4 linked regions of the Tamandua tetradactyla genome follow. The protein of the gene in region 3 interacts with the protein of the main gene of each other region in a biochemical or structural test. Links are inferred from orthologs where the notes say so. Each region holds a gene or a part of one and is shown on either strand. Other genes may lie near its edges. The genes, in order: RIC8A, RGS4, GNAQ and GRK2.

What was found.
Region 1: the proteins of GNAQ (region 3) and RIC8A form a complex in vitro, tested with the Homo sapiens proteins (2 studies listed by BioGRID). The link is inferred for Tamandua tetradactyla from reciprocal best matches to the Homo sapiens genes GNAQ and RIC8A.
Region 2: the proteins of GNAQ (region 3) and RGS4 form a complex in vitro, tested with the Homo sapiens proteins (3 studies listed by BioGRID). The link is inferred for Tamandua tetradactyla from reciprocal best matches to the Homo sapiens genes GNAQ and RGS4.
Region 4: the proteins of GNAQ (region 3) and GRK2 form a complex in vitro, tested with the Homo sapiens proteins (3 studies listed by BioGRID). The link is inferred for Tamandua tetradactyla from reciprocal best matches to the Homo sapiens genes GNAQ and GRK2.

What each region holds. Positions count from the first base shown.
Region 1 is NC_135335.1:32,977-40,978, reverse strand, and holds the start of RIC8A (chaperone Ric-8A), read right to left. Parts: upstream 3,146-8,002; 5' UTR 3,047-3,145; coding exon 2,963-3,046; intron 2,770-2,962; coding exon 2,722-2,769; intron 2,624-2,721; coding exon 2,027-2,623; intron 1,595-2,026; coding exon 1,506-1,594; intron 1,012-1,505; coding exon 861-1,011; intron 1-860. Other genes in the region: BET1L (BET1-like protein), read left to right, coding at 4,593-4,611, 5,692-5,783, 6,011-6,067, 6,206-6,373.
Region 2 is NC_135330.1:16,333,801-16,341,014, reverse strand, and holds the start of RGS4 (regulator of G-protein signaling 4), read right to left. Parts: upstream 3,223-7,214; 5' UTR 3,088-3,222; coding exon 3,044-3,087; intron 241-3,043; coding exon 136-240; intron 1-135. UniProt on the Homo sapiens protein: Inhibits signal transduction by increasing the GTPase activity of G protein alpha subunits thereby driving them into their inactive GDP-bound form. Activity on G(z)-alpha is inhibited by phosphorylation of the G-protein.
Region 3 is NC_135328.1:108,702,249-108,709,987, forward strand, and holds the start of GNAQ (guanine nucleotide-binding protein G(q) subunit alpha), read right to left. Parts: upstream 3,100-7,739; 5' UTR 3,021-3,099; coding exon 2,885-3,020; intron 1-2,884.
Region 4 is NC_135335.1:7,144,725-7,151,785, reverse strand, and holds the start of GRK2 (beta-adrenergic receptor kinase 1), read left to right. Parts: upstream 1-3,851; 5' UTR 3,852-3,883; coding exon 3,884-3,996; intron 3,997-4,629; exon of another isoform or gene 4,630-5,009; intron 5,010-7,061. UniProt on the Homo sapiens protein: Specifically phosphorylates the agonist-occupied form of the beta-adrenergic and closely related receptors, probably inducing a desensitization of them. Key regulator of LPAR1 signaling.

The sequences.
Region 1 (8,002 bases), on a different chromosome or scaffold from region 3:
GTTAGTGAGATGAGGGGCCGAGAGCAGGTGGCTGTGATCCCCAGGGACACGCGGATGCACCTCTCGGCCAGACACTAACTACTCTGCTGCCCAAAGGATCTGCATTGCCCTTCATGTGGATTTTTAATCTTTTATGAAAACATCTATGTTCCTGATTTTTCTCATTTTTTTAAAGTAATGTCTTAGTTGATTTCAAACAGTCATTTAAATGCTTTATTTATAAATAGAAAACAGGAAGAAGGCAGTTCCTGAGATGTTTCAGACCGAGGAAGAGCTTTTCCACTCGCCCCTTGGCCAGGGGTGCCTCAGAGCTATGGGCTTTGTTGACAGACAGCAAAACTCCCTTTCCTCCCAGTACCTCCAGTCACTTCTCTGGCCACAAACCAGCAGCCGTAGCAGCAAGGACAAAGGGCACCTGTTCCAGTGCCATGTGCCATGCAGGGGGTGGGATGAGGATGTGCCCATCCTCATCTGCAGCAGGGACTCGACCTGTCAGGCCTGCCCAGAGATTCCTGTGGTTCCAGGGATACTGGGGAGAGGTGGGAGACGGCAGCCAAGGACACTGATGTTTGTAAGTAGGAGCCATGGATGGGTTAGCTGCCTGTACACAGCGAATCTACAAGTCTGAGGAACTCAAGCAGGGACTGGGGCCTTCCCAGGAGCTCCCAAGGTATCGCCCCAAAGGTCTAAAGCACAAGTACGAGTACTCGTGAGACTCTGAAAACAGGCTGTTTTGCCATCTGCATCCTTGCAGTCATCAGAACAGAAGGCTTCAAGAGGAAGGGTGTGCAAGCTTTGCGGGGAGGACCACGACGGAGCCGCGGCACAGAAAGGCCAGGGTCCCGCGGTCGCCTACCCACCTGGTCCAGGCGCTTCTCCAGGAAGCCCAGGAGCACACGAACCACATCCATGTTCACTCCCATGAACTCGAGGGAGCCCTCGTGCAGCCCCGGGGGGAGCAGGACGTCCAGACACTTGAGAGGCAGATTCCCCAGGAGATTGACTGTGTGGCTGCAGACCGGGGTGCAGGTGAGGGTGGGCAGGTGCCTGCCCTGCTGGGCCACATGCGATGTGAGCCAGTGTCAGGGGGCCAGAGGGCAGCACCAGCCAGGTCCCCTGTTCCTGCTAAGCAGGAGAAGCCCTGCCTGTCCCACCCCTCTGTCTGGGCTGGCTGCCTCACGCCATGGACATTCTCTGGGAAGTAGGTCATGGAGAATGGCGGCAAGTGACAATCTTGATCTGCTGACACCAAGGTCCAGGCTGGCATGCCCTTCTGCCAGACTGACAGCTTTTGGTCTTGGGTGTTATGAATAACTTTGCTAGTCCCATCAGAGGAGCGAACTCAGACTCCAAGAAGGGAAATGGGGCTCCCAGGTGGTTCTTATTTATACCCAAGACTGAGAAGCACCCCAATCCCACAACAGGCCCCCTCCCAGCCAGACATGGCCAAGTACAGAGCTCCCCCCACCCCACACACAGCTCCCAGCCCAGAGCCTTGCCCTCACCCCTGGAACTCCTCAGTCCGGTCTCCAGCAGCAGCCACCATCACACAGCGCCGCAGAAGGGTGCCCAGGTGTCGGTAAAGGGCAGTGTCCTGACCAGAGAGAAGAGCAGATCCCTGAAGGCGGCTGCTGCCAGCTGAAGGCATGCTCTACCACCCTGCCCCTCCTCCAACACAAGGCTGCAGGTCCAGAGAACCAGTGGCTCTGACTGCCACACAGCTGCCTTTGTACTCTCCTAAACGACCCTGCTGGGTGGTGAGGCTGACCGACCAGTGCCATTTTCCTGAAGACTCTGTGGCTGCAGATGTCCACACCCACGGTTCTGCAGTGGCTGTTTCCTTCAGCCTGCCATCACACCACACACCCTGTGGCACCTGGACCTCCAGACCCAGGAACAGCTATCTCCCTCAGATGCCTCTCTCCTGGGAGGGAGCCCCTCCTTGGCCTCCCCTAACCTCTCTATGCCTGACGCCAGATCCGTTTAGGTTCCTGGCATGTCGCGGGGCCTAGGATTCGGGCCTCACCTGGTCTGCCTCCCTCTTGGTGGTGTCAAAGGTGATGTTGAAAAGCACCTTGAGGACCTCCATGGCCCGCTCAGTCTCCTGGTGCGGGAGGCACTCAGGGGCGCAGTCTTCGGGGTCTGCCCCGAGGGTCAGCTCCAGCGTGTCAGTCAGCAGGCGCACCCCCTGTAGCTCCTCAAACAGCTGCTGGCGCACGTCGGTGCGCAGAGCCGTGAGCAGGAAGAGGAGCCGCAGGTCAAAGAACTGGACATCATGTGGGACGCTCCTCTCCCGGGAGAGCCGCACGCGCTCGGCGAGCCTCACCACCACGCCGGCCTCGGCTGCCAGCTGCTGCGCCAAGGGGCTGCTGAGCACAAGGTTGCACAGGCACTTGAGGGACTCCAGCACGACGTCCATATCCGCACCCGGGGCCTTGAGGGCGGAGCCCTCGGGGGCTGAGATGCCGGCATGGCGGGCCAGGGCCTGCAGGCTCTGGCGGCTGGTGAACCGGTCCAGGCAGCTGCGGTCCCGGGACAAGATGCGGACACTCTGCAGCCAGGTGACGCGGTGGGAGGGCGGCAAGCCCTGCTCCAGGGCCGAGACGAGCAGCTCCGCCAGTTTCTGTGAGCAGATGAAAGGGCGGCTGCCCGGAGCCCCAACACCCTCCCCACGGCGCCTCCTAGGACCCCCGGCCCCTGCCCTTTACCGCTGCCACCCACCTTCCTGTCGTCCAGCTGAGCCTCGTCGAACGTGAAGCTCTGGGAGTTCTGCAAAGACACCGGGAGGGTTCTCGGAGCGCAGACCCCGGACAGGGCGGGGCCGCGCACTGGGGGGGCTGCCTGACCCAGGCGGGGCCTGCACGCGCCCCGCCGCGCACCTGTCCCCGCCGCGTGCACCCCGGGCACCGTCCCGCGCCCCTCGCCGCCCCATGCACGTCCCACGTCCGCCGCCTGCGCTCACCTCCCGGTTGTAGGTCCGCAGAGCCTGCACGATCACGTCCTCCTCCCCCGTCTCCACGGCGTCGGCAACCGCCCGGGGCTCCATGGCGCCCCCAGGACGCCCGAAGGCTCCGGCCGCGAGCCAGGGGGGACGTCGCGCCGCGGCGGGGCCCAAGTCCAGCCCGAGTCCAGCCCGCGCGCGGCCCCGCCCTGCCTCGGGCAGCCCGCGTCCGGCGCGCGGGGGAGGCCGGGACGGGGCGGGGCGGGGCCGGCACGCGCGGGGGGCGGGGCGAGGCCGCGCGCCGCTTAAGGTGCGCGGTTTAAGGTGGACCCGGAACGGCGCTGGCGTTGAAGCCCCGACTCCGGGACCCGCCGGCTTGGGGCCCAAGTCACCCCTTGGCCAAACCGTGACCCCTCCCTCGTGCGCTTCTTGGGCCGGAATTTCAAAAGGAGAACTCTCCCGATCCCCCCATCTTTATCCACAGAATGAGTGGGATGGAGGAGGAAAGCGCCAGCGGAGAGGGCTTTGCGGTCTCAGAGCCTTTGGTTTACTAAACCGGCGTCGTGGAGCGCCTGCTGCAGGCGAGGCGCTGGGGACGCGGGTCAGGAAGACCCTGCCGTCCTGGAGCTGGTTCCAGAGGGGAAGACGGACAAGGAAAGACAGACAAGACGACTCTGCGTGGTCCTAAGCGTTGTGGTTTTAAAAACAACAGGCTGCTGTTGTCCCCAATTGCGGGGGGTCGGCAGAAGGCTCTAGGGAAGTGCTACTTCTGATGAGACCTGATGCTCACGATAGGGGACCGTGAAAAGACTTGGGGGAGGCCACTCCAGGCAGAAGGAACGGCTCGGTTGGCAGAGGTCGGGGGTGAACGCAGGGCCGGAGTAAGTGCAGCGACTTCCGAGCTGTGAAACCCTGAAACGCGCTCTAGCTCAGAGTTCGTGTCCTCTTCTGTAAAGCAGAGGGGAAAGTGTCCACTTCAAGGGGTTGCACTGAGGATTACAGGCACTCGTAACTGACACACAGAAGATACCTCGTAGCGGTGAGTAATTCATAAATACAAACTACTCACCCACCTCTCTGTTCTTTTATCACACATCTGTCATGCCAGGCCCTTGGTACCAGGATTCAAAAGCAGGAAACACTGGTTCCTACTGTCTCCGCTGCCCCTTCCCCAAACCCTTTTCCTTGGTTCACTGTTACTTATCTGCATTTTATTTTTAAAGCACTTATTCAGGTTTACTTGTTCCAGGCAATGGTCTAAGTTCAAACGAGGAAACCGCCTTACAGACTCGGGAACTAAAATGCACGAAGGTTAAATTCCCCAGGTCACTCGAGGCCGAGTGGGGCGGCGAACTCGTGCGCCAACACCGCGCCCCGGCAAAGGCGCTGGCGCTCCTCCCACTTCTTAGGACCTAACCTCGCCTGAATAACCGAGAGAAAAGACATTTCGACGTTAAAGCGAATGGCGCAAGGGCTCCCAAGTGCGGGGTCCAGGTCGTCCCGGGTCCACTGACAATGAAACAAACGTCGGACTCCTCAGTCCCTCCGCGCCCGCGGCGGCAGAAGGGGCGGGGCCGGAAGTCCCTCCCCGTGACCCTGCGACGCCGTGACCCCGCGACCCCGCGCCACGTCCTCGGCGGCGCTGGACGCGATGGCGGACTGGGCTCGGGGTGAGCGCGGGGTGGGCCGGGGGTCCGGGGGACGGGACGGGCCGGGGTTGGATCCGACCCCGGGCGCCCGTCGGCGGGAGGGGACAGCCCCCAGTCAGCGCCCCGCCGAGGATACGTGGCTGCGTCCCCCCTCGCCGCCGGAGGCCTGGGAGGGTCCGGCCGGGTGCCGCTCCCGCTCTCCTGGGCTGTCGTGACGACTGAAGGAGGGAACGGACGCGAAGGCGTTGGCGGGGTGCGTGGCACAATGCCTGGCACAACGGGGCGCCTTTCCGCAGCCGCCCCTTCCTTCCGGGTCTGTACGAGTCAGAGATTCCTAAGGCCTCGGACTCTCAGGGTATCGGCCCCGTGGAGGGCGAGTCTCACCCACCGAATGTGATACATTCACGCCACTGGTCCAGTTCGGGTGTGCAGCGGGGAATGGGGTTGGCCGGAGTTACCGGGCGGGTCTCGCACCGTGCCCTCGTTGTTCTGGGAGGTGCTGTGGGGACATAGGTGAGCAAACCTAGGCCCTGCCCTCGGGGCTGGACCCTGCCCACATTTTGGTTAGGGAACTTTGCTCGCTTCCTTTTCTCCGTATAGAAGGGCCTCCCCGATGTCCTGCCCTTGGTTATCGGTTACTTTTTCAGGACCAGGTCACAGGTTACGCCCACACAGCCCTCGCGGCTGTCCTCCTTGAGCTAGTGCTCTTCCCTGGGCCCTCCCCAGGACAGGCGGGAGGTACATGCATGGTAACCTTGCTGCAGGCAGGTACTGCGTCTCACTGCCTCCCTGGGATTAGTCCTGTCTGGCTTGGCGTGCCGGATGGGCTGAACCTGTTGGGGTACACCCCAGAGGGCAAGCCACACATCCTGCATGTGTACAGGGGACATGCTCCCACGTGGTTGTTTACTGTTGCACAAACACAAGGGCCACAAACCTGTCCCTGCCCAGCGGGTTACAGGTGGAGACCCAGCCCCCACCCCTGCCCAGACTTCAGACTGAGGCAGATGGGGTTGAGGCCACAAAGGGCCAACTTTCTGTGGTCTGAGGGTCAGGGATTGTGCTCATGGGTGGATGCACAACTTCAGCCTGTCTCTACAGCTCAGAGCCCCGGTGTCGTGGAGGAGATTCTGGACCGGGACAACAAGCGGATGGCCGACAACCTGGCCTCCAAGGTCACCAGGCTCAAATCGGTCTGTGGCGGTCTCCTTTCTCTTGGGAGCAGGACCCCCAGGAGGGTGCAGCTTGGGGGGCTCCAGGCTGCTTTCCATTCTCCTTGCTGGCTACTTGAGGCCTGGGGGGCATTTTCTGACCTTCGTGTTTGGTGAGGGTGGCGTTTGTTCTGGCTGGTCCTGGGGGAGGAAGGGTGCTGCCCCATGTCTGGCCTGGCCTGAACCTGCCCTCTCTGTGCCCTGGCCAGCTTGCCCTGGACATTGATAGGGATGCAGAAGACCAGAACCGGTACCTGGATGGCATGGTAAGAGCCTTTGAAGCTCTAGGGTGCCCTGCTGAGCTTGGGCCCACACCATCTGGGGTCGGGCACTGTTCTTGGGCACCAGCAGAGGTGGGTGTGGAGGTGCCAGCGCGTGTAACAGTACTGGGATTCCTCCCTCAGGACTCAGATTTCATGAGCATGACGGGTCTGCTCACTGGGAGTGTGAAGCGCTTCTCCACAATGGCACGGTCTGGGCGAGACAACCGGAAGCTTCTGTGCAGTGTGGCTGTGGCCCTGATTGTGGCCTTCTTCATCCTCTCCTACCTGTTGTCCAGGGCGCGGACGTGAGCGAGCGGGGGTGGGCGAGCTGCCACTGCGGGTGCTGGGGCCAGCCAGGGCCACCCTGTGCCCCACCTGGGCTCCTGGGCTCCGGAGCACTTCCCTACAACATTCCTTTGAATTTACGATTGTGGGTCAGAGGTCTTCTTCCTGTTCTGGACATGAGCATCTGTTGGCTGGTCCCATCCACGGAAGGGACACTTTCCCTGGGGAAAGGAGGCCCAGCGTCCTCCAGTCCCTGGTTGGAGCCTGAAGACACATAGCACTGTGCTGGCAGCCCCTCTCCCAGCCCTCAGGCGTCTCAAGGTTCCTCTACCGTTTCCTCTGAGCAAGGCCATGTGTGTGATTTGTGCAGCATGAGGCTGGCATGAAAAGTGACTCTACCTTCAAACCTGAAACAGCGCTATCTCTTTGGCCCACCCTCTCCAACAGCAGCTGCTCTTGGCCAAGGCTGCCTGGGCAAGGTCACACCAATGCAGGCCAGCTCCTCCCCCAGTACCCTCTGTGCTCACGCTCATTTCCCTCCTTGGGGTAGACAGAGGGCAGCTGGAGCCAAACCCTGGGGCCTGTGGATACAGAGGCTCTGAGCCCTAAGCGCTTCTGGGCTTGTTCAGAGCAGGAATTCACACTCAGGGTGTGCATTTACCCAGCCTTGCAGATGGGTTCCACGAGACCAGACCTCCAGGAGTGGCTGAGTATGGGTGAGGCCTTCCACCTGCTTTTCACAGGACACTGCTGCCTCTGTCACCTGTAGGGGTTGCCAGCCATGTGTGGTTAACTTATTCTTCCACCAAACCCTGCCCTTCCTCCCACTGTGAGGGACCCTTCCTCCTGAGTGCATGTATCTCTGAGCCACCGCCCTCCCTGGGCCCTCATTTCCCACTGCGTACTCTCTCCACCATCACACCAACCCTGGACAGGTCAGACCCAATGCCTTTAAGACCAAGCCATTGAGCTTGGGACCCTCCCCTGTCCTATCTGATTCATCTTCTGCCTTCCTGGCCACTCTGTGAGGCCCTGACTCACAGTTCACCCACTTGCAAGGCCTCTTTCTGAGTTTGTCCAGCTTAGAAGGCTTTGTCTCTGAAACCTAAACCGGCTGTCTGCCATAGCCTGCTGCAGTCAGCTCCCACAGCCTCGATGCAGCCTTCAGCCCTGCGAACTCACTTCCCAGGCCCCATCCTTCTAATAATCTTCACCCCTTTCTCTCCTTCCTCTCCCTCCCCCCCTTCCTCTCCCTTCCCTCCTGCCTCTTTCCCCTTGCCCCCCCTTTCCTCTGTTCAAGCACTCACCTAACGCTGTCTCTCATCTTTCCTTTCCTTCAGGGTTAGGACTTTGAGTGTCCTGGAGAGGCGTCATTCCACCTTTTTACTTCTGAGCACTCTGTTCTGACTCTGCCTCACCTAGTGAGTCCTCATGTGTGGACTAATCTCCGTATCTCAGGCTTTCCCAAATTGTGTGCTGTGGTATGTGTCACTCCCAGCTCCCCTCCCTCCTCCACAGGCTCTGCAGATGCTTTTTCTTGTTTCCAAGTGTCCTTGTGTGTTGGGGCTTTGGCCTCTCTGCTTGCACCACAGGGAACCTGTCCACTGCCACCTAGATGGCACAGGCACTGGGGACAGCGTGTCCAAACCCTGC
Region 2 (7,214 bases), on a different chromosome or scaffold from region 3:
GATCCCCCCCCCCCCCCCCCAAATGGAGGTCATCTCAATTCTGGTCTGGCTTATTTAGGGCACAGCTTTCTTTTGTCCTTATAGAACATCTCTAGTTAATATGCACTGGATTTTCACCAAAGCCTTTTCTCTTACCTCTGACAAATAACCACTTTGTCCTTCTTGCTGTGGGAAGAATTATGTTCACAGGAATCGGACTTCTGCAACAGGAAACCTAGACGATGTTTCATATCTTTTGCACTGCACAGAAGAGGAAAAAAGAGAACGAATAATGATAACTAGCTCTTTTTAAAAGGCACTTTAGGCCAGACTCCTAATACAGGCTTCTTCATTAGTAACTAGAATTCTGACCCTTCATCCTATCTCAAGAACCTCTTATATGGACCTGTCACATTTGACTGTTGGAACTCTTTGGGATCTTCAAAAGCAACACAGATGTTCGTTAGGTAATTCATAGGAATTGTGAAGCAATCGGTTACTGCAAAATGCGGCACTTCTTGCTGCATGCCCCCTTCTGGTGGGTGGTTGCTATTTCCATCTGCCTCACTGCGGGAAGTGAGGGATATAGGAGCTCCTCAGAAAGGTGCTGTCTGTTCTGTTACAGCCATGCATGTGGTAGGCGAAGCATTTGGTGTTATGGATATGCAGGGATTTATATACTGGCAGAGGGAAGTGGAACATGGGGCGATAAATGCAAAGGGTAGCTTGCAGTCTCAAATGGTAAAAACCTGAGCTTCTTCAGATTTGCCCCTGGAGAATCTACTGCTGCTGCTGCTTTCCTTTTTAATATCTGCATTACAAAGCATATTTATACTACAAAGGGCATGAAAAGTAAACAAGTATCATTGCTGAAGCTGGTAACTGCTAATTGCTGCAGAGATTCTAGCCTATTGCCAATGTTTAATAGATACCTATGGTACAGCAAGGCTCCTTACTTAGGCTAAAGGAAGGACCTTTTAAGAAGCTTTCAGTTGAAAATTCTCACTCTGCATTAATTATTCTTTTGCTTGTATCTTTTTTTGTTCTAAAAGCTAAAAAATTAGTATTAAAAGTGAAATGTCATTTTAAAAGAAATGAATGACACTATGCTCTTACTCGGAGGGAGAAATGTAAAGCCACAAGGATGAAAAGACATTTAGGATGGCTACTGATAGACTAGTGGTTTATCTATGTGAGTTTTTCCCAGAAAGTTTTGAATTTCATTATGTTCGTGGATTGTTCCTTAAATAGCATTTTCTCTCCCTCACAACACTGCTTCCACTCTTCTGCTTCCTTAACTGGCAAGATCATTAAATCATGCATGTGTATATGTGCGTGTGTATATATATATGTATATACATATATATGCATAGTCATATATGTGTGTATATGTATGTATATATTTATGTATAGTCATATGTGTGTATATGTATATATATATTATACATACATACATATGATACAATTGTACAAATAATAAAATCATGAAGGTCAACTGGATAATATAAGTATCTTGTGATTCAGTCCACATTTCCAGGTGGCTAACTCTGTCGCGAACAAACATTTATTGGGGTCATTTCATGATGAGCTGGGAGTATGCTTAGCAAGTAAATTACTTGTCCCTATACCACCTACAACCATAAAGATAAAAACCAACATGACCTCAGAGGTCACGTGAATAAGGAAACCTGGATGTTGTCCTCACTCTGCCACCCACCACCTATGTGACCTTGAGCAGTTCAGGTCCCCTCTGGAGTCTCAGGTACTAAAGCTAGAAAGAAGGTGTTGGATCAGACAGTTTACATTTCACCAGCGAGGAAAGTGGTACCTAGCTCACCCTGCTGATATAAAGTTCACCTTGCCCGGTTAGCTTCTTAGCATCTTGAGGGCAGAGTTCTCTAGTGCAATCTTTCATCTGTCTTTCAAAATATTTACCAGAGTGAAATTCTGTATTCTGTAATGGTTAATCTTATTTATGAGTTAACTGAAGCATGAAATAATTTGCTCTATTCCGTTCAAATTAATGGTGGAGGTCAGAGGCACTTATGCATAGGTACGCTCTGTCAATACCTCACACTTCATTTTAAAGAAACAATAAATATTTTAACACCGCTGAGTGACAGGTAAAAATTTTTGAAAGGTAAACTTAATAACACACAAAAGACTGGGTTATCTGGGATTATTTCCTGTTTGAAATTCAAGGTGACCTCTAATTGCAGAGGGTCAGGGGAGGGAATGATATACCTTGAAATTGACTTTCCACCTTTAATTGCAAGATTAAATAATGTAATGTGTACTCATTTTTTCCCTATTAGCTTATATTTGAGAATTTTCTGAATGCATTTATTCAAACCTTTAAGAGTAAAGCTATGGACAGATGAGTAGCTGCATATCTTTAAATTTTGAATCACAAGATGGTCCATTTATAAAACACTCTCTTTAAGTTGAAATTGCTTTATTAGGACCAATACTTCCTCCCAGCCACCATTCACATAAGATATTTCAAGAGCTAGAGGTGGAGGCAGGGAGATAAAGTTGTCTAGTTTTAAAGCTCATTTTTTATTGTAACATTTACTTATAGGAACATAGAGAGTACAAGATACTGCAGCATCGTACAGAAAGCATCATGCCCTTCTGTGGATATAGTCCAACCTCATACTGGGATAGCTTCCCCAACACAAAATCAGAAACAATATCAGAAAGTCCAGAGCTGCAATAGTATATACACCAGTAATGCCCAGATAGCAACTATAGTCTCAGGAAGAGATATTACAGACCACTTTATGTAGTTCAAAAGCCTCATATCACCTTTTAATTAGAGCTAACTTGGCTAGAGGAACTGGCATAAAAATCAAAACATGTCATTTAAAACGTCTAGGTACTGGACTTTGGGGAGAGTGCCTCTCAGTCACAATATCTAGCTAGTACTCGGAGGAAGGTAGAAAGTTGATGCTCTACTGACCACATTCTTTCTAATCTCAAAGAACCAGGTCACTGAGCAGGATATGTAAAATCTGAGAAGACCTATCCAAAAGTTTAACACAGTGGCTGAAAATCATCTTACCTCTTCAAGCAGGAAGCTGGCAGACCTGCAAGTCCTTTGCACATCTTGCTTAGCGTGGGATTCACAAGACTAGAAAAGAAACGCAGCAGGAGGAGCTGTGACTTCTGTTTGGAGTGCTCTTTGCCTTTTCTCCCGTAAGGATGCTGTCAGAATCTTCGGAGCTTCTCCCTCCCAAGCCTGTAGGGGTCTCTTTTATAGCCCAGCTCCCGGTTTCCAGCCAATCGGATAGCAGCTGTGTAATACCGATTTCTCTCTGTCTCTCCCTCTGCCTCCTCCAGCCTCTGAGAGAGATAAGGAAGGGCTGTCTCATCAACAAAGCAAAATGAATAAAGCGCAGAAAATCCTCTCGCAAAGTAGATGCACAGAAGACAACAATTTACCCAGTGTATCAGCCAATGTCTGAGGTTTTGAATTTTTAGAAAAGGAGAAGAAAAAGAGGCACGATGCTGCAAAACACGGAGTTTATTCACTTGCCTGTAAAAACAATGTCAAAGGAAAGCTGACCCCAGGAAGGAAGGTGCCAGCGGGAGTCTGTGGGATTTATTTGGAGCAGACTCCCAATACACTTCCTCTTTTGGATTAGAAATCTCACATCATGCATGATCCAAGATCTGATCTTCAGTAATCCCAAAAAGGAACTGGCAGGATCATCTGTCTCCAGGCAGTGATTTGCAGAAGTTGCATTCTTAGTTGTCACATGCAAACAGGGATATGGATGGGGAGTAGCTGCTTGGCAGGGTTACCTGGCAGCACAGAAAATAACTAGTCTGGGGAAAACGAATTAATTGCATTTGTAATCAGCCTGACTATGGAATACTTTTCTTGAAATCTTACTGAAAACAGAATTCAGGCTAAAACTGACCATCTCTCCTAAACATGATGCCTCCTAGAAAAAGCTAGGGGAAATAAAAAACAGCATAAGAACCACAGGAAGAGTACCATGGTTAAATAAAAACACCCATTTTTTTTTTGAAAATGGGGTTATGTCTTACGTGATTCTAGGTCTCCAAAATAATATTTCTAATAGAAAGACAGAGGAGAGAGAGGAAGCATCAAAATATGGAGTTTGTCTTGTATATCACCAGGCTTCAGATGAATATACAAATATCTGATCCTACAGTGCTTCTGAGTAACTGGATGATTAGTACGCTCCACATACAATGATGGACTAAATGCTTCAAGGAATCATAAAAGTGTTTCACATTATATAGTCTTAGCTGAAACACCCATGCCAGAACTTCTTGTTCTAGGCAAAGCTATGATTAGAAGGAGGAAATTAATTGCTATGCCTGATTAGGACGGCTTACATTTTAAAAGCAAGTTGATTATTGATCGTACGATAAATGAAATTTCTTGATGAAGCTGACAGCTGTCTTTGATAGTGTTGTGTAAGGGACTGCATGTGTAACGTGAAATGATAGAAGTCAACAGGCCAAGGAAGGTTGACCCTGGGAGACGAGTCAGTTAAAATTGGCACCAAAGCAGAAAGACTAATTAAAAAGGAGAGGAGGTCATCCAAAGATTTTCTTTGGTTAAACATGCACCTGAAAGAATGATTATTCAAATAATGTGATTTTAGGAACACGGAGAAGGACCCTTCAAAAGTTTTAATGATGCTTCAAATGCCACAATAAGAATTTTTCTTTCTTTCTTTCTTTATTTTTGGCATGGGCAGGCTCTGGGAATCCAACTCAGGTCTCTGGCATGGCAAGCGAGAATTCTGCCACTGAGCCACCTGTTGCACTGCCCCACAGTTAAGAATTTTATATCTTGGATCTAAACCAAACAGAGGCCTGATTTGTCATGAACAACTCTAGATGAGTTGAATGGGGCTTTCAAGATGATCTAATTTAATATGTTTGGTTTGCCAAAGAAGAAATAGAGGCTCAGAGATGGGAAGTCATTTGCCAAAGCCAAGCCTCCCACTTACAGAGTTAAACTGAACCCCTGTATGACAGATATAGCATCTCCTACCTGACCAAGGCTTGACCTCCCTCTTTCCCTCTGCCTCAGACATCCCTTCCTGTAACACCCTGGAAGCATACCAAGCTTTGGCTGCTATAACATTGAGTTCAAACTACCTTAAACACATCTTGTTTTGAGAAAAGAGCACATTCTCCCAATATTTGCACATTAGTCCCTGGCATTTAGCTACCTTTGTTCCTCAACTATATATAATCTATAGAACTGTGTCCATAAGCATGGATATACTCCAGTGAGCATTTGACTGTCTCACTGTCCGTTGTGTGGTAGCTGCAGCTCTCTGTATGAAAGTTCCCCTAATAAATGCTTTTGGACTGATGATTTGGTGTTTTTAGTATCTCTTTCTCTGGAATCTCAACTGGAGGGAGGTTTGGAGAAGTCCTGGTTGGGTCTTTCCTAATTTCTTCTTTAGGGGAAAATCCTGCTGCTGGTCCAATGGGATGCAATAACCCCAGTTTTCTTGACAGTAGGTTATGTAGACTTTTCTATCCTATCACCCAAGAGTCTGATCAAAAAAGGAGATATACTCTGTAATCTGAGGATTCCTAAACAATAAAATTCTATGCAAATTTTTATTAATAGATTATACACAACAAATAAAAACCCTAATATTAATTTTGTATCCATCTACCAAGTTTTCTCTTGTTCAACAGAAGCAGAAGTCACTGCAGATCTTACCACTCTGGTTTTCCACTAGACATCACTTTTTGTTTGGACTTTCCATATTCATTCACTTTATTATTTTCTTTATGAGAGAATTTGTGAATTTATAGAGAAATCATTTGCAAAGTACCGGCTTGCCATGCATCACCTTATTATTAACACCCTGCATTAGTGTGAAACATTTTGTTACAATTGATGAAAGCAATGTTTATAATTGTATTATTAACGATGGCTTAATTTAGGACTGTTTGTATAGTATAGTTCCATGGATTTTTTAAAAAAATTTATTTTATAAATATTTATATATACAACCTAACATTTCCCCTTTTAACTATATTCAGATACGGTTTTCAGTGCTGTTGATTATATTCACGTCGTTCTGCTACCATCGCCACCATCCATTACCAAAACATTCTCATTATTCTAAATAGGAACCCTGTACATTTTAAGCCCTAACTTCCCAACCTCTCCCTGGTGCCCTGGTTTGAAAGTATTATGTACTCTAGAAAAGCCATGTTTCAACCCTGATTCAATCTTTTAGAGGTCATCACTTCTTTGAATCATGATTCAATACTGTAGGCTAGACTCTTTTGATTAGATTATCTCCATGGAGGCATGATATACCCAAATGACCACTGATTAGATGGAGATGTGACTCCATCCACTCCAGGTGGATCTTGATTAGTGTACTGGAATTCTTTAAAAGAGGACACAGTTTGGAGAGAACCAGAAATGACAGTAGCCTGAGCCAAAAGAGAAAGAGCCCACAGAAATGACAGAGTCAACAAAAATGACAAAGTTGACAGAAAAAGAGAGCTGAATCAGATGCCAGCACTTGGAGAACAGAGACATGGATGTTTGGCGATGCTTGGAGACCAGCAGACATCACCAGGAGATGTTAGGCAAACCAGAACCTAGAGGGAGCCAAGGGAAACCAAGAGATGAAAGTCAGCCCTGGAGAAGCAAAGTGAGGAACCCTTCCCCCTACCAGGAACAGAGACTGAAAGCAATGGAGCCCAGGAACAAGAGACTGGCAGATGCCAGCCACGTGACTACCCAGCTGACAGTGGTGTTCCATATACATCAGTCTTTCTTGAATTAAGGTTTCTTTCCCTGGATGCCTTAGTTTGGACATTTTCATAGGCTTAGAACTATAAATTTGTAACTTACCAAATTCCTTTTTTAAAAGCCATTCCAGTTCTGGTATATCACATTCCAACAGCTTGGAAACTAGCATACCTGGTAACTTGTATTCTACATTCTGACTCTATAAAGTTTGCTTATTCTAATTATTCCGTATCGGTGAGATCATACAATATTTTCCCTGTTGTGTCTGCCTTATTTCATGATGTCTTCAAGGTTCATCTATGTTGGAGCATGAATCACAGCTTCATTTCTCTTTACAGCTGAACAGTATTCCATTTTGTGCATATACCACATTTCGTTTATCCATTAATCCATTGATGGACACTTGGGTTGCTTCCATCTTCTAGCAGTTGTGAATAATGCTACTATGAAATTGGTG
Region 3 (7,739 bases):
AAATAGCCCAAATTTTACTGCCAGATATCATCTAGGTAGGTAATCGTGAGTTTCCTTTTCTAATTTCTCAATATTATTAATTTACAAAAATAAACTAATTATGTAAATAAATGCATTTCTATCCATGCCAAACAAATTCATTAAAATGGCATCATGCTTTGAAATAAAATTTACTTTAAAAAGTTTTATGCTGAAATTTCCATACATGGGTAATTCCTTAATTTAAATAAATTAGGTTTAAAATATTAGTAAATTTTTAAACTGTGAAAGGCCATAACCTTCTCCTAATAAGTACTATTTAAATGAATGAAGGAGTCAGAACACAAAGTTCACTCATCATCACCAGACATCAGGAGTAAAAGGAAGCCCTCCCTGCACCTCTCCTTGTTCCAGAAATCAACCATCATTTCCCTGCAAGGCCCAGAAAATCAGGAATTCACACACCCATACACATGAACAAATCTACATTTAGTGATAGTATGACTATATATATAGTGTAAGTATTGCAGCAGTTGTCACCAAAGCAACATATTTAGAACATGAAGCTGTAGCAATTCTTACATGATGTCTTCGAATCACGTTTCTGATAGCAAGCTGTATAATTTTTAAATCTAACTAATGCAAGTGGGCTCTAAATTAATATATTTTTCTACCACTTCTAACAGGCCATATTTGAGGAAAGCAGGAGACTGTATGAAACCCTTCTCAAATATCTAATAGGAAAAAAAAGTTATCCATACTACCACCACCATAGCAGTAAACCTGTTTTTCTTTAATTCTTATTCCTTGGCAAATTATCTCCAAGTTAATTTTTAAAGCACAGTTGGTTATTTAAATAAACAGTATGTAACTGACCATCCATATGTGTTCATTTCCCCTGAAGTCTTCCTTCTAGCCATTCAAACCTAGACCCTTTGACAAAACCCCCAGGTCTCTAACCCTCAGCTGCTGCAAAACCCAAGGCTGCCACATTTCAGGCAACAGGGCTGCCTTGAAAGACCTCAAACACCCCATTTACAGCCAAACAAAAGCAAATAAAACTGTAAACAGACAAAATACAAAGAAAAACAATTCTTTAAACAAATCACACTAAAACACTTTTTTTCCCTTAATGATGCACTTAAGCACTATAAAGTCCTCTTGCTCCCTCTATTTTCTCCTCATCTTGGGAATTCAGACCATTTTCAGCCATTAGAAGTAACCCAAATGAGAGGATCAAAAAAAGAAGAAAAAAAATCTACATCTTCCACCCCGGCTTCATTGCCTTAAGCCTACCTCTTTCAACCAGTGCTTTGCCTTCTGTTTTTAATACACACGTACTCATTTATCTAATTGGGTTTCAAATGAAGACAAAAAGCCATGGCACGTGAATTAACCATTGATAATTATATGTGATCATTATACTTTGTTCCTTCTTGCAAATGATCCAGGACATAAGCAGTTCTGTCCCAAAGGCAATTGTTTCCTTTAACCAGGAGATACAGCTCAAGATAAGAAAGAAAATGCCTGCTTCTCAAACCCTCACTGACGATACAATTTTCTTTTCTTACAGAAAATATTTGAGAAACGTATGTATTATACACACAAGTATGCAGAACACAAGTGGAAGCATTTCTCAGGCCTGTAACTGCAAAGCTGTTTGCTCTTCCTTCCACAATACCTCAGAAGTATGACAGGGTGGCTTGTATGTGAACCCTGATGACTTGATTCTGAACATTCTCTCAGAGATAATAATCAATAGAATTCCTCTTTGAGAAATGGCATTTTCTCGCTAACTTAATGTTAAAGCAGAATGGTCAGTTCTTTTTTCAAAGATTAAAGAGAAATTTTTGCCCTATGCTTCCCATTTTCCCTTCCAACCCAGATTTCAAAGATATTAAAATTGCTGTCCGTTTTCAACAAACAAAAGGTTGTTCTTTGCTTCCATGAGAATAACTGGGAGGCTGCACTGGTTTTCAGCAGTAACTATTGTGAATTCAGGCCTACATTTGGGTTTGCCTTATTAAACAAAAGATATCCATCGCTGTCAACAACCACACAGTACAACGCTCCCTTATCCTTCATCTTTATCCGGAAGGAATGGTGCAGACAAGAAAGGCGCTTGTCACCATCTGATGGCCAAGAAACTCTTCTGGGGTCTCCCCATTCTGTGGCCTGGTGGCTAGAGAACAATTCAACCTTTGGGCTTGCCCCACCCCCCACCCGACCCCTAGCCAATACATCAGCCCTCTTTCTTTAGCTGGCCCACTGCTGGGCTCCCTCAACATCACTCCTTGGAGAATCCAGTCGCGCGTCTGCCCACCACTCCACCATTCAGTTCTGACCCCGGCATACGCTGGTAATAGAAACACAGACCATCCCACCGCACTCCATCTCTCAGAGTGTCCTGAATCCGCTCGCCACCCTCGGGGTCTCACACATGCAGCTCCTCACTTCACCACCCAAGGAGAACCAAGGCCACGACACTGGAAGTTCAATCCCTCTGCCCACCTTCCCACCCCCGCGCTCCGCCGGGAAGTGATTTTCCACTAAACAAATGCACAGCAGTCAAACCCGCACCCCGAATGCACAGCCCTCGGGGATACGAAAAGGCACACGCCGAGACACCGGGCAGGGCAGCCCTGACCCATGCCCGTGCGTGCGTGTGTGTGTGTGTGCATGTGCGCGTGTGTGGTGTGTGTGTGTGTGTGTGTGTGTGTGTCTGTGGGCACGCGCACGCGCACCCGCTCAGGGTGCGGGTGCGGGTTTTGGCCGGGGGCGCGCCGCGGGCGCCCAGGGGCGGGGGCCGAAGAAAGCAGCTGCCCCGACAGGCCGGGGGCGGCGGACCCGGGGCGCGAGGCCCCAGGTGGAGAGCACCGGGCGGTTGACCCCGAGCCGTACTCACCGAGCAGCAACAGCTTGAGCTCCCGGCGGGCGTCCCGCTTGTCCCTGCGGAGCTGCCGCTCGATCTCGTCGTTGATCCGCCGGGCTTCCTTGGCCTCCTCGCTCAGGCAGCACGCCATGATGGACTCCAGAGTCATTCTTCCAAAGTGCCTCCGCTGCAGCCCCGCCGGCACCCCCTGCTCACACGCACGCACACACACCCTCCCGCCCTCGCCCCCCCGAGACAGCGGTGGCCGCCGAGCCCCCGCCGCCCGGGCGCGCGTCCGGGACGAGCTCGGGGAGCCTCCGCGGAAGCCGCGGCCAGGGCCGGGGCCACCAGGTGGGCCGGGGGCGCGGCGGGAGCTGGCAGCCCGGATCGGCCGCCTCGGCCGCGGGAGGAGCGAGGCGGGCGCGGGAGGCGGTCGCAGGCACTGGCTCGGGGGGCGCGCGAGGGAAGGCCGCCGCGCCCGGCCTCGCTCAGACGCCCGCGCCTCCTTCCCCGGGAACCGGCAACCCGCCTCGCCCCCCGAGCAGCCGAAGGTCCTCTAAGCCCTGCACCCGGCGGCTAGAGCTCATCCACCGGGGCGTCCCCGCAGCGAGCGGCCGCCGACGGCTCCCTTCGCCCAGCACGCCCGCTCCTCGCCGCCGCCTGACACGGCTCCCGGGCGCCCTCGGCCCTGCCCGCGCCCACCGCCCGGCTCGCGCGCAAACACCGCTCGCCGGCCCGCCCGACCGCCGCGCACTCCGCCTCCGCCAGACGCCCAGCCCCGGCCCCGATTGCCAGGCGCGGAGCGGCTGCTCAGTGCTCGCCCTCCCCCTCGCCACACACACACATTTTCTTCTTTCTCTGAACTGGAGCACAGATCCGGGAGGGAGGCGGCAGTAGGAGGAGGCGGAGGGGGAGGGAGTGAGGGAGGGAGGGAATGGACGCGGGAGGAGGGGAGTCGGGAGGCGGTGCCGCCCGGCCCCTCTTGGAAGGCTTTCCTGGGCTCGCTGCCGCCGCGACGCGCCTCCCAGTGCGGCTCTCGCCTCGCCCGCGCCGCTCCCCGCGCCGGGCCGGCCCCCTCGGGCTCTGCGGTCGCCTTCCGCTCCCGCGCCCTCGGCGGGGCCCGCGGGCGCAGCGGTTCCGGCCGCCCAGAGCGGAGGTTGGGGCGGGGACCCGGTCGCCCGCGCTCGCCGACGCGCCGCCCCAACGGGTATCCGCTGCTGCGGCTCGGGCGGCCGCCGACCTGCAGCTGCCCGGCTGGCCGCCCGGGCGTGGTAAAGCGGGAATATGGCTGCCTCTGGCTGCCTTTCGGCCCACCAGCCTGGGTACGCGGCCTCAGCCCCTCCTGGAAGTGGCAGGATTTAGACCCGCGAACTCACTGAACAGGCTGGCGCCGCGGACACCCTGCCTGGCTACCCCGCGGGCGGCGGAGGCGCTCGCGCCCACGGCTCTCAGGCAGCGTCTTTCTGCTCGGCGGAGCAGCTCTTCAACCACATATGCATTCTTTCCCGTTCCTAAACGTTCTAAAACGCCATTCGGTTAGAAAATATCTCGCGTCACCTCTGACCCGAGTTCAGTCTTAGAAAATAAGATACTCTTGATTGTGGGGTGGAGAAGAGAAGGAATTGTCACTGGCTCCCAGAGGGGTTAAGGAGATCATTAATAGGCGAAACCGTCCACAAAGTCACTGCAGATACAAATCTAAATCCAGAGCCGAGAAAATGAAGCTGCCCAAGAGTTTCCTGATGGCCTCCAACTTTTCATGCAATTGAGGTTGTTTCTGGCTTTTATATTTTACAAGTTCTCCTTTTGTTTTGAAAAGGCTCAGGATGTGTAACAGCCAAGTAATCAAACTTACTTTATTCCCCTAGACAGAGGTTCTATTGCGCGTGCATTCTATGCACATTGAATAAATGAAAAGGAAAGAATAAAATAGAAAATGGGGAAACAAACACCGACCCAGCAAAATCCCATTCTAGGTTATTTTTTTCCCACTTTTGATTAAGGCACTTGAAAATGTCGTTTGCATCTTTCGTTGTGATACACTACCGATAAATGGCAGCAAGAACAAAATCTCCTTGCTGAAGCGTTTAGTTCTAGTGGCTACAAGAGATGACACCTATATTACTTCCAGCTGTGATGGAACCTGACATCTTGAGAGTAAACTACATCTTAGGAAGGGAATGTCTTTTTCAAATTTCATATTTTCTCTGAGATGTTTCTGGTGGAACTTGCTCATCCAGAGTGTAAAGTTTTGACTGTGCTAGTGCCGCAAGTCAAGAATGCACATAGGGTTTTTGGATGATAGGTATGTGATTTCCTTCCTTCATTTGCTACAGCCCATCCCTTGTCCCCTTCTCTCTCTTTCTCAGCGAGGACTCAGATCAAACAAGTCATAAAGATATAAGATCTGATATTGTAGGTTCCCTTCATAAAAAGATATTCAGCCTAGAAAATGATTAATGTTCACCATGGCCAGGAGAGCAGAGAAGACAAACCTCACACCTTTTATGTGAAAGCTTACAACTTGATATGAAATTAACATTTTAAATTAGGTGACTAATGAAATTAAAGATTAAAATTTAACATGCAAAAGTTTAGAATACCTCTGGGGGAAACTTAACTATGAGTTTGCATCCTCTAAAATATGTATATACACAAGTTTCAGAGAGACAGAAAAACAAATGACAGGAGGCCTCAATTCTCTGGTTTCCTACCCATGGATCCATGTGAGGCTTTTGAAAATGTCTCTCAAACTGTGCTATCAAGCTATCAGGCAATCCATTTAGACTGAATTGATCTATTTGATTAAAAGAATTAAACTTGTAACAGATTGTAGAATCAAAGTCTGTTTTGTCACCCCTATATCCCCACTCCCTGGCACCCAATAAATATTGGAATGGATACAAAAAATCAATAAAAACATATTTTTTCATATGTTGGGAAGAAATCAGGAAATAAGGTATACAATACTCTGTAGGGATGGAGCCATATATGGATGGCAAGAAGAAAGTAAGACAAGAAAATTCTATGTACTAACCCAGACCTACCCAGAAACCTTTATATGTATATATGGGAAGCATTCATCAAGCAAGCATTGATAAGACCTACATCAAACAAACAAAATTCATGCAGGAACTACTCAAGTTGTTGATCGTGTTCTAGACATTTAAAAATATGCAACTAACCAAGTACCTTAGTTTCCCAGCTGCTACGACAAATACCACACAATGAATTGGCTTAAAAACAGGACTTTATTGGTTCTCAGTTTCAGTTGGTAGCATTCTGGCTGGCAGGCAATCGTGAGTCCCTTGGTTTTCCTATCACATGTTGATGTCCTCTCCTCTCCCTTCCCAGTTCTGTTGACTGACTTCCAGCTTCCAGCTCCTATGTTTGAATTTCTTCAGTCTATAGAGTATTCCGGTAATCCAGTTTAAGACCCAGCCTCATTCAGTTGAGCCACACCTTAACCAAAAAGAACATCTTCAAGATGTTCTATTCATTGTGGATGCACACCCACAGGAAGGCGGATTAAGACCAAGCACATGTCTAAATCCGGGTACACAGGGCAGTGCAACAGTGGCTCAGTGGCAGAATTCTTGCCTGCCATGTCAGAGACCCGGGTTTGATTCCAGGAGCCTGCCATGCTAAAAAAAAAAGAAAAAAAATGTAATCAAATTAATCCGGGGTACGTAACTCAAGCTACCACACCATATTACAAAATTACAAAATATTGCAAAATTCCAGGTTGCTGAGTCAACAAACTAACTCAGTGCCGACTATTTAGAAATAACCAAGGTGAAGGTGCAGGAAGAGAGACTATGATGAATAAAATGCTGCTCTGGCCCTCTAGAGGCTTATGGTCTCAAGGTATAATGAGACTCTGAATTACTACAATAAAATCAATTTGTATTAAGGTAGGGGTAGAAGTAACAATACAAATGTATAAAAAAAGAAAAAACATTCATTCTGTGTAGAACTCAAGATAACTACAGGAAATGTGGCATTTGAGAATAAACAGGGTTTCAATAAATATATATCTACACCCCCATAACAACCAATCAGCAACTCACCCCAAACAGACAGTGAGATAATAAACCATTTTAAGAATGCAAGGGCAAGTACTAGATGGCTGAAAAGCAAAGTACAAAAACCCTGGGAGCATTGAAATTCAGAGGCAACTCTACAAAAATGTGAAGACTGTCACGTCTTCTGTGGTATCCTGAGACAGATACCTAGCCCACAATTTCTTTTGGGTACTGGGGGGGGGAAACAACGGTAAAAACGTCGTTTGATATCTCAAGGAGTGTTCCTGGAAGCAAAAAGGGAAAAGCCCTTTCTTGTAAAAGGAAGGAAAAGCCGATAGAATAATCCATGACTCTCTGACAATGTATGGCATGTCCCACAACACTGTAATGTAATTGCATCTCTCCCCCAGAAGATTAGGTGCTGCCTGAGAGCAGAGCCCTTGTCTGTCGTAACTGTTTTCAGGGCACCTAAAAAATTGCCTAGCCTAAAACTGACACTCAGTAAATGCTGAATAAATAAGAGAGTGCCATCAACTATATTAACGACAAACACGCTTGCAAATGGCCAGGTGCCTGAGGCATCCACAGCCCTTAAAGGCTTAATAGTCTATTTGGGCAGTCACATGTATAAAAGGATCAACAAAACATGAGCAACAGCCGCTGCTACCCCACAGTACAGAGAAAGGATTGCTAGAAGAGTCCAGAAGGACCATTCAAAGCCACCATTCAAAGCAACTCGAAGGAGTATGAGTGGGCACCCAATGATCACCCCAAAGACCAATTAGAATTCTGCCTGAAGCATTGCAGATCTTACAAGAGCTGAGAAAGAGCTGTTCTGTGCAAAGCTTTCTGGCACAAGGAAT
Region 4 (7,061 bases), on a different chromosome or scaffold from region 3:
TACACACGTGCCTTCTCTGTAAGGTACATCGGAGTCTTCGTGTATTTAGGAACACTAGACAGCACTTCAGCGCTACGCTGGGGGGGCCATTTTAAACAGCAAAATCACCAACAAAAGAGCAACCCCCCAAAATGCGCAAAAAACATGGCACTAAATATATCATGAAAAACACACTTGTTTAGCAGCATGAGAACTGAAATGACAAGTCCAAGAGTCAAGGTGTTCAACCTCAGCTGGAAATTTTCGTCTGCTCTGGACGTGTCTGTGAATGACCGCCAAAGCGCTGCCAATATCAATTCGGGGGAACAGAGTCATTTTCGCCAGTTGGTGAATTTGCAACTACAGAATCCGTGAATAATGGATAAGACTGTATATGATTAGGGGCCTTCTTTCCCATCAGACTGGGCCAACGCTGAGTCCGATTTCCCCCTGCAGCCCTCGCGTTGTGCCAGGAGCCATGCTGGGTATGAGGGACACAGCCGTGACGGCAGGGACGCCAAGGAAACCTTTCAGCCAATGAGACAGCAGAGTGAGCAGGAGCCCACCTCGCCAGAAAGTGAGAGGTGATGGGGACTTGGACTGGGCTTTAGCAGGGCGCTGTCAAAGGATTCAGGGTACATTTTGGAGACAGTCACAGCAGGTAGCTGACAGGTCAGTCTGGACTACAGCGTATGCGTGTGGGGGTGGGGTGGGGAAGGGGACAGAAATATACTGAGGACGACTCCTGGGTTTTTGGAAGATGAAAGAGCCATGACTGAGATGGGGGTGCGGGAGAGAAGCAGGGTGGGCAGGGGGTTGGTTGGCGGTGGCGAGAGCTCAGTGTGGGATGTTTCACTTGCAGCACCTGTTAGTCACCCAGGGTGGGTGCCAAGTAATAAAGCGTCTATGCGTCTGCCACCCAGGCAGAGATGGAGGGTGGTCCATGGCTCTTGGCACTGCCAGCCTCCCAGCCACAGCCTGGCCCCGTCTGGGAACCGGATGAGGGTTTGTTGCAAGAAGGAATGCCTGGAGTCTGACACCCAGGCAAGTCTACCTGCCGACCTACCCAGAACCACCAGAGGGCAGCACTGCCCCCCAAACCAGGCTCCGGTCCCCACCTCTACCCGGGCCGGGCAGTCACACCAACTTCTCCCACTTTTCTGGGTCCCGGGAATCAATGAGGCTAGGGGTATGGGCTGGGCCAAGGGCGGGAGGGGTTGTCAGGGTTTTATGAGGTGGCGGGGGGTGGGGAGAGGGCAGGACCAGCTCCCGGGGCAGGATGGCTGGCAAACTCAGAACCCACAGGCAGAACCTGTTCTGACAAGTTTATCAAGCAGAATCTCTCAAATAGGGGCTGCCCAGAAAACCCAAGGAGTCAGGGGGTGGGGGAGAGTTAGGGGCCCCCTGCTGTGCACCTTGGCCCGGGTGCTGCCTCCGTCTCCATGTGTCACCTCGGGCTAGGGAGTTCACGCACTTGGTCACTCATTCTTTCATCCAATATTGACTGATGGCCTTTCTGTTATGGGTGCCAAACTAGGCCTAGGGGGGAAGAGATGAACCCCGAGCGTTGATTACAGTGAGATTTACCTTTATATTTTCATGCTTGAGCATTTCCTATGTCAGGATGTGTTCTCCAGTGATGCGAACGTTCCATAAAGCCCCACCCCTCACTGTCAGTGGTGCACCTTACAACTGATGATGTTTTCAAATCAAGGAAATAGGGTGGTGAGTGCAGAATCAGGGATGGACACAGTTGGGGTTAGGGCATCATGGAAGGCTGCGTGGAGGAGGTGGGTCTTGAAGGACAAGCAGGAGTTATAACGTCAGGAAAGAAGGCACAAAGAAGGGCTTCCAGGCATAGGGCGTGCAGGTGAAAACTGATTAGCAGTCTGCTTGGGGTAACCTTAGGTGCAGAGGATGGTGGCAAAACGAGCAGTAGTGGGACATGAGGGCAGGGCCCAGCCATCCAAGACTCAACTCAACCTGATCTGCTTTTGGGCTTAAGTGGGTCCCCCACTCCCAGCAGCTCCCAAAGTCCTAGAGAGCTGCATCTTCATGCTTAATAAGTGGTGACCCAGGAGCTCTAGATTTGGGACTGGCAATTGTGGTTAGGCCCTGCATCAGGGCAGCAACCCCCAAGGAGTGGACTGGTGGTCCGAGAGGATTTTCAGGAGGCCAGCCCAGGATGGCGTGGTGATAAATTAGAGTAGGGAAAGGTGAGAGAAGAGGGAGGGGTTGGGATGATACCTGCAGTTCTGACTTGGGTGTGTATCTGCAGGGACGGCGGTGCCACCCAGTGAGAAGGGGAGCTCACCTCCCTGACACACTCAGTTCTAGGCTCTGCCAGGACTGGTCTGCGCTCCCTAGCCAGAGGGGCTTACTCCTTCTCCAAGAAGCCCATGAGGGTGGGATCCTTGCTTTGCAAGTGCATCCTTCCTGGTGGCTGGCCCACCAACTGCCATGGGGATCGAACCTGCTGCCAAAGGAAGTGGGGAGGAGATCCAGAGTGGGGTATGTTGAGATTCTGTGTGTGTGTGTGTGTGTGCGCATTGCCTAGAGACACACAGATTTAAGCCACCTGCTTGGGTGGGCTCTCAGCAGGGTGGGCTTCCTCTGCCAGGTAGTACTGAGACCCCTGTGCCCTCCCAGGCTGGGGGGGGGAGATCTGATCCCACGTTGTGGAATCATCGCGAATGGGATGGGATGCAGGGAGGGAAGCTGACCCAAGTGTGCAGGTCAGGGGCCTGGGTCTGGGGTGGGCTGGGGCTGGTTTGTGTGCAGGGTCCGTGGTCCTGAGTGGGAGTCCTGCAGCCAGGTCTGGAGAAAGAGGGGTGGGGAGTGGAGTCTGGGGCAGTTGTCAGGTCCAGGTGCTGGGACCTGGTGACCCTATAAGGGTTCTTCATCCAGTCTTGGTCCAGGGTGGGGTGCCCTGGCCTTGGGCTATATGTCCAGCATCCTGGGTGGCAGGTCCAGGACTCAAGTCCAGGTCTGGGCCCTGACCCCGAGTGTGGGGATCAGGGTCAAGGGAGCGCTCTGGGTCTGGGGATGTGACCAGCGTCTGAAGTCAAGGTCCAAAGTCTGGATCTGGGGTCCTGTTGGCGCGCTGGGGTCACGATTGTGTCCAGATCTGGGGTCCGTGTCGTGGTCCTGGTGTGGAGTCAGGGTCCCGGGTTGTGATCTGGGTCAAGGTCTCATGATCAAGCTCTGGATCTGGGGTCCTGTTGGCGTTCTGGGGTCAGATCGTGGACGGGGATCGGAAGTGGGAGTCTGGGGTCTTGATCGGAACAGCTCTGGCCTCAGGACTGAGGTTTGACCGTGGAGTCCCGGGGTCCGGCGTTGGGATCCGAGTTGAATTTAGGGTCCTCTTCGGATCCCGAACCTCTTCGGTTCCAGGTCGGGGCTCGAGGGTGGAGATCCGCGGGCAACCGGCGGGCGGCCGCTGGGATCCGGGATCGTGCCCCCAAGTCTGGGTCGGGGTCCCGGCTCCGCGGGCAGGGCCGGGCGGCCCGCGCGGCCTCCAGGGGGCGTCCCCGGCCGCCCGCGCCGCCCGCCCGCCCGGCTCGGCCCCTCGCGGGCTCGCTGGCGCTGCGCGCGGCAGGCGGGGCCGGAGGCGGCGGCGGCGGCGGCGGCGGCTCCGGGGCGCGGGCGGGCGGCGGCGCCCGGACTGCAGTCCCGGCGGGAGCGGACGGGAGCCGGGCCCGGGCCCGAGCTGGCGCCATGGGGCGGCGCCGCCTGTGAGCGGCGGCCGAGCGGAGCCGCGGGCGGCGGGCGGCGGGCGGGGCCGGGCGGGCGGGCGGGCGGCGGCGGCGCCCGAGGCCGAGCGGAGCGGCGGCCGGGCCGGGCCGAGCGCGCCGAGCGAGCGGGAGCGGGAGCGGCGGGAGGAGCAGCCGCCGCCGCCGCCAAGATGGCGGACCTGGAGGCGGTGCTGGCCGACGTGAGCTACCTGATGGCCATGGAGAAGAGCAAGGCCACGCCGGCCGCGCGCGCCAGCAAGAAGATCCTGCTGCCCGAGCCCAGGTGAGCCCGCCGGGCCCCGGCCCCGCAGCCCCGGCCCCCCCCAGCGCCGACCCCCCTGACCCCCCGCGGCCCCAGCGCCCCGGCTCCGGGCCCAGCACCTCACACGCGCCCCGGGTCGACCCCCAGGTCCCCGGAGCCCGGGACCCCAGGCCCTGTGCGCCTGAGCCCCGAGCGCCTCAACTCCAGGGCCCACCCCCCCCCCCCACTGCCCCACTCTGCCGGTCCCTCGGTCTGTCAGCCCTTCGCTCCTGCCCTCTGCCCCCACCCACCCCCAGAGCCCCATCACTCTCCCCCTTGTCCTCCTCGGAGCATCCCATGGTCCCCGTGGGGTCCCCTCCCCTCTGCGGGCCACCATTTACCTGGCCTGTTGATAGCCCCCATCCTTTGGCTGTCCCTACTCCCAGCTCCCTTCCACGCCTTGCAGGGGAGCTGGGTGCTCTCCCCCCCACCCCCCCACACCCCAGTCTCTACTTGAGTGAAGTTGGAGGGAGACAGCCAGCCTCAGGGCAGCTTCTCAGGACCCTTCCTTGCTCCTGCTGCGGGATCACTGTCTTGGGGCTGGGTTTGGTGTGGTGGGCTGGGGGCACCGTGGGGCACGCGCCCTGCCCAGGTGGGTCGTTTACCAGGGGCCAGCCCCGCACCTCTGCCGCACCTGGGCCACAGATGCCACCCCTCTGTGAGACAGCTCGTGTCATCGTGCCTGGTATCAAAGTTTAAGGCTGTTCAGGATGTAGGCGCCGAAGCGTACAGGATGCAGAGGGTAGCTGTGGCTGCCCCGGTGCTTGGTGGCTTACGGACCATTTCCCCGTTGCTGGAGCCCCACAGCAGTCCCCCGGGGTGGGTAGGACACCTGTCCGGTGCCACACACGTTACCCAGTGTGCAATCGGGGTCCCCCCATCAGGGCCCCTGGCGTCTTGTTATAGGTTCTGCCACCAGGCTGGCCTCAGCCAGGGCCTGGATGTTCTGCTCCTGCAAGAGCTGTGTGCCCCCCAACCAGTCCTCGTGTCACGGGGTGAGGCCGGTCCCCTCTATATATCTCCCTCTGTGCAGAGGTGGCCTCTGTGGCCCCAGCCGGACTCTGGGCCCACCCCTGGCTGCCCCGGCCTCATCGTGTGATTTTAGGGAAGTCCCTTCCTGACTTTGGGCTTCAGTTTTCTCATCTGCAAAATGTGGAAGGTGTGAAGTGAAGGCTGTGGCTCTGCAGTGTCCTGAGGCTTCGAGGCACCTAGCTCAGCCTCTGCTAGTGTACCTCCCCAGGGGGGGTTTCAGATTGACTGAATACCAAGCCTGGGAGAGGAAAATTTGTCTGCATTTTGGGCCACCCACCCCCCCTTTTTTTTTTTTTGCTAAGACGTTTGCAATCAGATTTCTCAAAACAGGAACCAGAACTGACTGTCAGCTAGGGCCTGTCCAGGGAGAAGAGACAGTTAGAACAAAAATGAGTTCAGAAATGACGAAGCCATGAGGGAGGAAGTGGGGGGCTCAGGGTGTGCTCAGCCTCTAGGGCTCACATCGTCTCTTCTTGGTGGTAGTAGCCTGAGACCCTCCTGCAGGTTGGAGTTCTGAGAAGTATGGGGTGGGGCCTTTTCTGGAACTCTCTGCGTTTGGGTAATCTCTCCCCAGAGTGCACTGCTCCTGGCGGGGCCCCGCCTTGGGTCGGCGGTGCAGGTGTTAGAACCCTGAGAAACGAGACGTTCCTCTTTTCCTGTCTCCTTTGTCGCCCGTGGTAGTGATGGTGCTGATAGGAATGATGGTGGAACTTATCCTAGCTTATTATTTATTTTGACACCTGTCATCTCAGTTGATCCAAAAAGCAAAGCTGTGAAGTTGGCCAGACCATGCCAGGCATGGAGTAGTTGCTCAAGAAACATCAGAAGACCACGCTATCTCCTCCTGAGTGGGAATAAGGTGGGCTGTGTTAGGGCACAGGCAGGAGTCTGAGAGCAAGGTGGCATGGCCCGAGTATAGGGTCACCGTCTGGCAGCATGGTTTGGGCAAACCACCTGTATCTGTGACTGGGGCTCCAGGCTCCAGTGCTGAATGCCAGCGTCCTAAAGCCCAGGGAAGGGCTCTGCCTTGCACTGGTATACCTGGCAGCACAACGGGTGGTATTTTCCCCCCACTGAAAACTTGGAGAAACTGAGGCTTAAAGAGGGGAGGCTCAGAGCTTTGAACTCCCAGGCCAGTGCTCTTTCCCTGCTATGCCTCATCCTCTCTGCCCACCTCCAGCTGCCTCTGCGCACAGTTTAGTGGAATGTGCTGGCTGGCACCCATTGTCCGGACAGCCATGGGTCTGGGTCACTGGCCTGGAAGCAGCGGGACAGTTCCCAGTGCCGTCAGCTGTCACAGCTCACAGGCCCCAGCCCCCTCTCTATCGGCTGGGGCTGCAAACAGAGCTGCCCTGGGAAAGCTAGTGCTTGGAGGAGGTAGCTCGAGCCCAGAACTCCCATCCGACCCAGGGGCCTGTCTAACCCCACGCTCACAAGGTCAGAGTCAGGGGAGAGACCACGGTTTGTCCCAATGACAAGCTGCCATTTGGCACCACCTCGGGGTGGCTCATCCTGGCACCCTCCTTGTGGCTGGTCCCTGACTCTCTGACTGCTGAGGGCCAGGGGACAGGAGCTGTTGGGCACGGTGCCACTTTGAGTTGGCATGGAGACCTCCTCTTCTATCACCCTTTAGAACTCAAGGATTCAGACCCATTTCTCGTTGTGTCGCTGGAAGACAGGGGTCCTGGCTTCTAAACCACCTTCAATGCCAGTTCACAAGGGGCTCGGGGAAGCTCGCTTATCCTCTCTGGGCCTCCCTTGGTTTCTACCTTTGTGAAATGGGGGGCTGCCTGTGCACAGTGATACCCCTTTCAGCCCCAGGGTCCCTAGTTCTGGGCCTCCCTGTGCGCCATCTGCTCTCTCCCCAGCGGCCGATGGGAGCGGACCTATAATTACCATCTTTCACTTAATGTGACCACTGAGGCCTCCCGTAATTACTCTCTTGGCTCCTGGCTGAGGAGCCCTGCCTGGGGCAGTCCCAGGAGATGCCCCGTCCCCTCCCCTGTGACAGTGGC